Oryctolagus cuniculus: one gene and its partner. The protein of the gene in region 1 binds, or shares a complex with, the protein of each later gene. Links are inferred from orthologs where the notes say so. Each region holds a gene or a part of one and is shown in the gene's direction. Other genes may lie near its edges.

Evidence for each region. Proteins that work in one complex are often made in the same cells at the same time.
Region 2: the proteins of RAB11A (region 1) and RAB11FIP3 are in contact, whole or in part, in a crystal structure (PDB 2HV8), measured with the Homo sapiens proteins. The link is inferred for Oryctolagus cuniculus from reciprocal best matches to the Homo sapiens genes RAB11A and RAB11FIP3. Residues at the interface, in NP_004654.1 of Homo sapiens: Arg33, Ile44, Gly45, Val46, Glu47, Phe48, Ala49, Thr50, Trp65, Arg72, Arg74, Ala75, Ile76, Ala79, Tyr80, Arg82; in NP_055515.1 of Homo sapiens: Asn731, Phe732, Gln735, Ile738, Asp739, Arg740, Ile742, Val743, Met746, Glu747, Pro750, Ser751, Leu753, Glu754, Val755, Lys756.

What each region holds. Positions count from the first base shown.
Region 1 is NC_091443.1:88,893,696-88,897,338, forward strand, and holds part of RAB11A (ras-related protein Rab-11A), read left to right. Parts: intron 1-1,635; coding exon 1,636-1,831; intron 1,832-3,643. UniProt on the Homo sapiens protein: The small GTPases Rab are key regulators of intracellular membrane trafficking, from the formation of transport vesicles to their fusion with membranes.
Region 2 is NC_091450.1:34,135,573-34,139,215, reverse strand, and holds part of RAB11FIP3 (rab11 family-interacting protein 3), read left to right. Parts: intron 1-2,998; coding exon 2,999-3,139; intron 3,140-3,643. UniProt on the Homo sapiens protein: Downstream effector molecule for Rab11 GTPase which is involved in endocytic trafficking, cytokinesis and intracellular ciliogenesis by participating in membrane delivery. Recruited by Rab11 to endosomes where it links Rab11 to dynein motor complex.

The sequences.
Region 1 (3,643 bases):
TAGCAGGAGCCCAGTTACTTGATCCCTCACCACTGCTTCCCCAGAGTCCACATTTGCAGGAAGCAAGAATTAGGAGCTGGTACTCAAACGTGGAACAAGGATGTCCTAATTTGTGTCTTAACTTTGAGGCCAATGTCTGCCTCCTTCATTGTTTTTGAAATTCATAAGTATGATCACTTGGAGTGAAAAAGTTACATAGTAAATACATTGTCTCCTATAGGAATCATAAGTAATTTCATCTAGTTAAACCTGTTTTTTAAAAAAGTCATTAATTCATAAGTGAAAGTGTGTGCCAATAAGTGAGAAGTATTAGCTTCCTAGGCCCTTGTTTACCTTTAGTGGGGTAAGGTTTGTTTTAGTTACTGTGTATGTGTGTGTGTGTGTGTGTGTGTGTGTGTGTGGTGTGGGGGGAATGGTCCCCAGCTTTGTAGTAATCTGATACAAGCAACTATTAAAGATCATTTTAGTTTCTATGATCTGAGTGCAAAGGTTATAAACCTGATGCTTTGTATGTTGAATGAATGTCAGTCCTCAAGTCACACCTTTTATTTGAGGTAACTAAATAAAACATATTCTCTTCCTCCATATCTATTAATATCCTTTGTTGTTTTCATGTCTGATACATTTTAAGTTCATTTAGTTTTGGATTGATTTTTTTAAGTTCTCTTCTGCAGTAGTAAGATTGGTTTAGTATTGATGGTAATTAATACCTGCCATCAGTGGCTAGTACACCTGATTAAAATTGCTTGTTTAAAATGGTACCACATCTGTAATGTGTGGAAGTCATTATGAAAGAATATAGGTTTTTTTTTTTTTTTTAAGATTTGTTTTATTTGAAAGAGGGGGAGGAAAGGGGGGAGAAAAGGAGGGAGGGAGGGAGAGAGAGAGAGAGAGATTTTCCATCCACTGGTTCACTCCCCAAATGGCTGTATCCGGTCAAAGCCAGGAACCAGGAGCTTCATCTGGATTTCCCGAGTGGCAGGAGCCCACGTACTTGGGCCGCCTTCTGCTGCTTTCTCAGGTGCATTAGTGGGGAGCTGGGTCAGAAGTGGAGCTGGCTTAACTTGCTGTGCCATACCACAGGCCCTGAAACAGAAGATAAATTGGTTCTACTGACTGATAACTGGTCAAGACATGGGCTACTCGACCTCCTGCCCACCATCCCTTTTTAAAAATCAGATAACCTACGGCCAGGGTTGTGGCATAGTAGGTTAAGCTGCCCTTGCCACCGTCCAATGTCAGAGTGTTGGTTTGTGTCCCACCTACTCCACTTCCTGATCCAGTTCCTTGCTAATGCGCCTGAGGAAGCAGTGGAGGATGACCCAAGCACTTGGACCCCTGCCACCCGTGAGGGAGACCCAGCTGGAGCTCCTGGCTCCTGTCTTTGGCCTGGCCCAGACTGGAGCTGTGGGGACTGTTTAGGGAGTAAACTAGCAGATGGAAAACCTCTTTCTCTCCCATCTGTCTCTGTTACTCTGCCTTTCAAATAAATTAAATAAATCTTTTGAAAAATAAGATGTCCTATCTTTTTTTTTTTCTTTATTTGCGTTGAAGGCAAACATTCTGATGAAAGCATAGTGGTATTCTGAATGTGGTTATCTCATTCACCTGACATTGCGTTCTTTGTCTTTTCAGTTGTCCTTATTGGAGATTCTGGTGTTGGAAAAAGTAATCTTCTATCTCGATTTACTCGAAATGAGTTTAATCTGGAAAGCAAGAGCACCATTGGAGTAGAATTTGCAACAAGAAGCATCCAGGTTGATGGGAAAACAATAAAGGCACAGATATGGGACACGGCAGGGCAAGAGCGATACCGAGCTATAACATCAGCGTAAGTTTCATTGTTTTTAGGTTCTGCAAAACAGATTTCTATCAAGTGAATTAGCTACTTTTGGTAATAGGAGATGTACAGTGGTTTCTCTTATCCATGAGGGATACATTTGAGTACCACCATTGATACCCAAAAGCATGGATAGTAACAAACTCTATATCTGTAAACTTAAAGGATTTTAACTTTAAATTTTGGCTTTTCCTTGACATTTGAGTTGCCAACATCCCTATTCTTATGCCTGGTATTATTATTAAATGAAATAAAGGTTACTTGAACTTAAGCACCATAATACCACGATAGCTGATCTGGTAACTGATGGGTGGGCAGCTTATGTGGCATGGATACAACTGACAAAGGGAAGATTTGTCCCAGCCTGGATGGAGTGGGACTGCATGAGATCTTATTATGCTACTCAGGTGCCACTTGAGAAATATGTATTGTTAGGGTGGGCATGCAGTACAGGCAGTTAAATTGCCACTTGGGATGCTGCATCCATGTTGGAGTGCCTGGTTCAAGTCCTGGCTCTTCTCCTTCCAGTCCAGCTTCCTGCTAACGCGCACCCTTGGAGGCAGCAGATGGTGCCTCAAGTGCTTGAGTCTGACACGCATGTGGGAGACCTGGACTGAGTTCTGGGCTTTTCAGTGTGGCCCAGCCCTGACTGTTTGGGCATTTGGGAAGTGAACCAGCAGATGGAAGGTCTCCCTGTCTCTCCCTCTCTTTCAAATAAAATGAAAAAGTGAAAGTACACATTGTTTATTTTTAGAATTTCCCATCTAATGTTTTTAGACTGTGGTTTGACTGTGGGTAATTGAAACTGGAAAGTGAAACCACAGATAGGATTCTTAGATGTTTATTTCTAAGTGTGTGTGTGTGTGTGTGTGTGTGTGTTTCTTAAAGAGACTTGTTTGAAAGAGAAGAAACAGATATAATCCTAGCTTATTCCCCAAATAACCAAACACTGGATTCTGGGCCAGGGCAAAGCAAGGAGCCAGGAATTCCATCTGGATCTCCCATGAGTGTCAGGGACCCAAGCATTAGCAGGGAGCTGAGTTGAAGCGGAACATCCAGGACTTCAACCAGCACCCTGATGTGGATTGCCAGCCTTGCAAGCATTGGCTTAATCTACTGCACCATAATGTTGGCCCCTGTAAGTGTGTTTTTAAAAATATGTGACCCATGTTTTGAATTCTTCTGGTGTTTGCTTCTATTTTGTTGTTCTTTTCTGGTAAATGTTTGTATGGGAAGGCAACCACAAGTTGGAAACAAGATATGTTTCTAGGGGTAGGCATTGTGGTACAGTGGGTTAAGCCGCCTCTTGGGACAGCTGTGTCCCGTATTGAGAGTGCTGAGGGGCTGGCACCGTGGCACAGTGGGTTAAGCTGCCACCTGCAGTGCTGGCGTCCATATGGGTTCCAGTCCTGGCTGCTTTGCTTCCGATCCAGCTCCTTGGCTGATGCACCTGGGAAAGCAGCAGAAAGTGGCCCAAGTGCTTAGCCCCTTGCATCCACATGGGAGACTAGGAGGAAGCTCCTGGCTTTGGCCTCGCCCAACCCTGGCTGTTGTGGTTCTTTGAGGGAGTGAACCAGTAGATGGGAGATTTCTCTTTCAAATAAATAAATATTACGAGTGCCACTTCAGGTCCTGGCTACTCTGCTTCCAATCCAGCTTCCTGCTGATGCATTGTGGAAGGCAGCAGACGATGGCTCAGGTGTTAGCCTCTGCCACTCATACAGGAGTTTTGGATGCAGTTCTGGTATCCTGGCTGTTGCAGGCGTTTGGGGAGTTGACTAGCAGATGGAAGATTGATCTTTT
Region 2 (3,643 bases), on another chromosome or scaffold:
CAGCCTGCTGCTCCAGCGGCCTGGGGTGGGCTGCCCACACGCCTTCTCGGGTTTGCTCTCATTTCCGGATCCCAGGCCGTCTGTCTTGTTCGCTTGCTGAGAGGAGGCCCCCGATGGGTGCCTGCAAAGAGGTGCGTCTTCCCTTCCCTGCCCCCCCTCCAGTCGGGGTTCAGCTGAGTATAAGATGATGTTGCGTCAGCTGGCACACGGGCTCCGGCTGCCCCCGTGTGTGTTTCTTGCCTGGGATGTTTTCATGAGGCCTTTGTTGTTTTCTGTGTGGTTTACTCAGTTTCCAGCCTTGAAACCTTCAGCTTCAGAAAGATTTCTAGAATTCTATTTCTTAAAAAATTTTACTTATTTGAAAGGCTCAGAGACAGAGATCTCCCACCTGCTGGGTCATTCCTCAAATACCCCTAACAGCCGGGCTGGGCCAGGCCGAAGCCAGGAGCTGGGAAATCAATCCAGGTCTGCCCCACGTGTGCCAGGGCCCAAGTGCTGGAACCCTCACTGCGGGAGTGCAGCTTGGACTCAAACCCAGGCCTTCCACACGGGCTGTGGGGGCCCAGGTGGCGAGCCTGCCCCTGGGGGTAGACTAAGCCCAGACCTACCCCTAGGGGAGCCCTGAGCCCCATGCCTGCCCCTGGGGGTAAACTGAGCCCATGCCTGCCCCTGGGGGTAGACTGAGCCCATGCCTGCCCCTAGGGGTAGACTGAGCCCATGCCTGCCCCTGGGGTAGACACTGAGCCCATGCCTGCCCCTGGGGGTAGACACTGAGCCCATGCCTGCCCCTGGGGGAGCCCTGAGCCCCATGCCTGCCCCTGGGGGTAGACACTGAGCCCATGCCTGCCCCTGGGGGTTAGCCCTGAGCCCCATGCCTGCCCCTGGGGGTAGACACTGAGCCCCATGCCTGCCCTTGGGGGGTAGCCCTGAGCCCCATGCCTGCCCCTGGGGGTAGACACTGAGCCCATGCCTGCCCCTGGGGGTTAGCCCTGAGCCCATGCCTGCCCTTGGGGGGTAGCCCTGAGCCCCATGCCTGCCCCTGGGGGTAGACACTGAGCCCCATGCCTGCCCCTGGTGGGTAGACTGAGCCCATGCCTGCCCCTGGGGGTAGACACTGAGCCCCATGCCTTCCCCTGGGGGAGCCCTGAGCCCCATGCTTGCCCCTGGGGGTAGACACTGAGCCCCATGCTTGCCCCTGGGGGTAGACACTGAGCCCCATGCCTTCCCCTGGGGGTAGCCCTGAGCCCCATGCTTGCCCCTGGGGGTAGACACTGAGCCCCATGCCTTCCCCTGGGGGAGCCCTGAGCCCATGCTTGCCGCTGAGGGGTAGCCCTGAGCCCCATGCCTGCCCCTGGGGGGTAACCCCTGAGCCCCATGCCTGCCGCTGAGGGGTAGACACTGAGCCCATGCCTGCCCCTGAGCCCCATGCCTGCCCCTGGGGGGTAACCCCTGAGCCCATGCCTGCCCCTGAGCCCCATGCCTGCCCCTGTGGGGTAACCCCTGAGCCCATGCCTGCCCCTGGGGGTAGACACTGAGCCCCATGCCTTCCCCTGGGGGAGCCCTGAGCCCCATGCCTGCTGCTGAGGGGTAGCCCTGAGCCCCATGCCTGCCCCTGTGGGTAGACACTGAGCCCCATGCCTGCCCCTGTGGGTAGACACTGAGCCCATGCCTGCCCCTTTGGGTAGACACTGAGCCCATGCCTGCCCCTGGGGGTAGACACTGAGCCCATGCCTGCCCCTGGGGGTAGACACTGAGCCCCATGCCTGCCCCTGGGGGGTAACCCCTGAGCCCCATGCCTGCCCCTGGGGGGTAACCCCGGACCCCATGCCTGCCGCTGGGGTCAGTTGTTTCCAGCCTCTCCTGTGCCTGATCTGCCTTCTCTGAAGCCCTGGGCGTTTTCTCTCGTTTTGTTTATTTTCCTTTTCCAGCTTTGTCTTTGTGCCCTTTCGTCTCCCTGTATGTCCTCATTTTTCTCCTTCAACTCCTTCTATTGAAATTTTAAGTTTTTCTTCCCATAGTTTTAGTTGCTGATGGTTTCTGTTACCTGTCCTCTGTCACAGCTGCTTGCATCTCAGGGGTGTGGGACGTCAGCCCTCTGACGTCCACGTCAGGGCCTCCCCCCTGCTGTCTCCACGTGGAGAGTTTTCTCAGAGTCCTGTCTTTGCTTGCCTTGCGCTTTGTGGCACAGACCTTCCTGCGGCATCTGGTAGCCGTTGCCATCCGTTCGCTCTCTGTGCGGAGAAGGCAAGTTCTGTGTCCAGAGCAGGGCTTGGGGCAGGGCTGTACTGCGTCCCTGGGCGGGGCCTGCAGCCTTTCTCTCGGGGATGACCGGTCCCTGTCTCCTGCCGGTGGTCCGCGGGGGTCTAGGAGAGGGCTCCTGGTCCCTTTCCTGTGTTCTCCCTGACACCTGTGTGGCCTGGAAAGGGCCGGGCTGTAGCCCAGGTTCCTGCTTAGCTGTCCCCTCCCCACAACACCTGGGGCTCCAGTGTGCCTGGCAGCCAGCGCTGGACCGGTCCTGGGTGTAGTGTGCTGTGGCCTCACGCACACCCTCGGGAGACAACCCTGGGCTGATTGTGCTGCCCCAGTCTCAGTCATGGCTGATAGGAGCTGACAGTCTCCACAGTCAGGTTGGACATGCGCTCTCTGCCTCCCAGAGACCCTGAGCCCGGCTGGTTGTGCGTAGTGGCTGTGGGCCGAGCAGCTGTGGACAGGCACTGGTGAGCGAAGGCCTCTGTGTGCACTCCTGTCCACAGGCCTCAAGCAGGCAGGGTCAGGTGGGCAGGGGTGCACGAGGGCAAGTCCTGCCACCCCAGACGCCCCCAGTTGGTAGGGGCTGGGGGCCATTGGAGGGGCATCCCCCTCCTGCCCCTTCCTTCGGGGGGCACAGGCTCTCCAGGTCCTGGATCAGCGTCCAGATGCTGCAGGAGAAAGGCAGGCCTCCACAGCTGGGGCCACAGGCCTTGGAGCCCTGCTCATGCGCTGTGCTCTGCCCTGACAGAGCCAACGCCCTGGAGGAGCAGCTGAAGGAGCAGGAGCTGCGAGCCTGCGAGACGGTCCTGGGGGAGGCCCGGCGGCAGAAGGAGCTGCTGTGCAGGCTGGAGCGAGAGAAGAGCATCGAGATCGAGAACCTGCAGGCCAGGTAGGCCGGGCCGGCGGCAGTGTGCAGGGGTGAAGCGCTCTCAGAAAAGCAAGACGCAGTGAGGAAAGGCCGGCGGCAGTGTGCAGGGGTGAAGTGCTCTCAGAAAAGCAAGACGCAGTGAGGAAAGGCCGGCGGCAGTGTGCAGGGGTGAAGCGCTCTCAGAAAAGCAAGACGCAGCGAGGAAAGGCCGGCGGCAGTGTGCAGGGGTGAAGTGCTCTCAGAAAAGCAAGACGCAGCGAGGAAAGGCCGGCGGCAGTGTGCAGGGGTGAAGCGCTCTCAGAAAAGCAAGACGCAGTGAGGAAAGGCCGGCGGCAGTGTGCAGGGGTGAAGTGCTCTCAGAAAAGCAAGACGCAGCGAGGAAAGGCCGGCGGCAGTGTGCAGGGGTGAAGCGCTCTCAGAAAAGCAAGACGCAGTGAGGAAAGGCCGGCGGCAGTGTGCAGGGGTGAAGTGCTCTCAGAAAAGCAAGACGCAGCGAGGAAAGGCCGGCGGCAGTGTGCAGGGGTG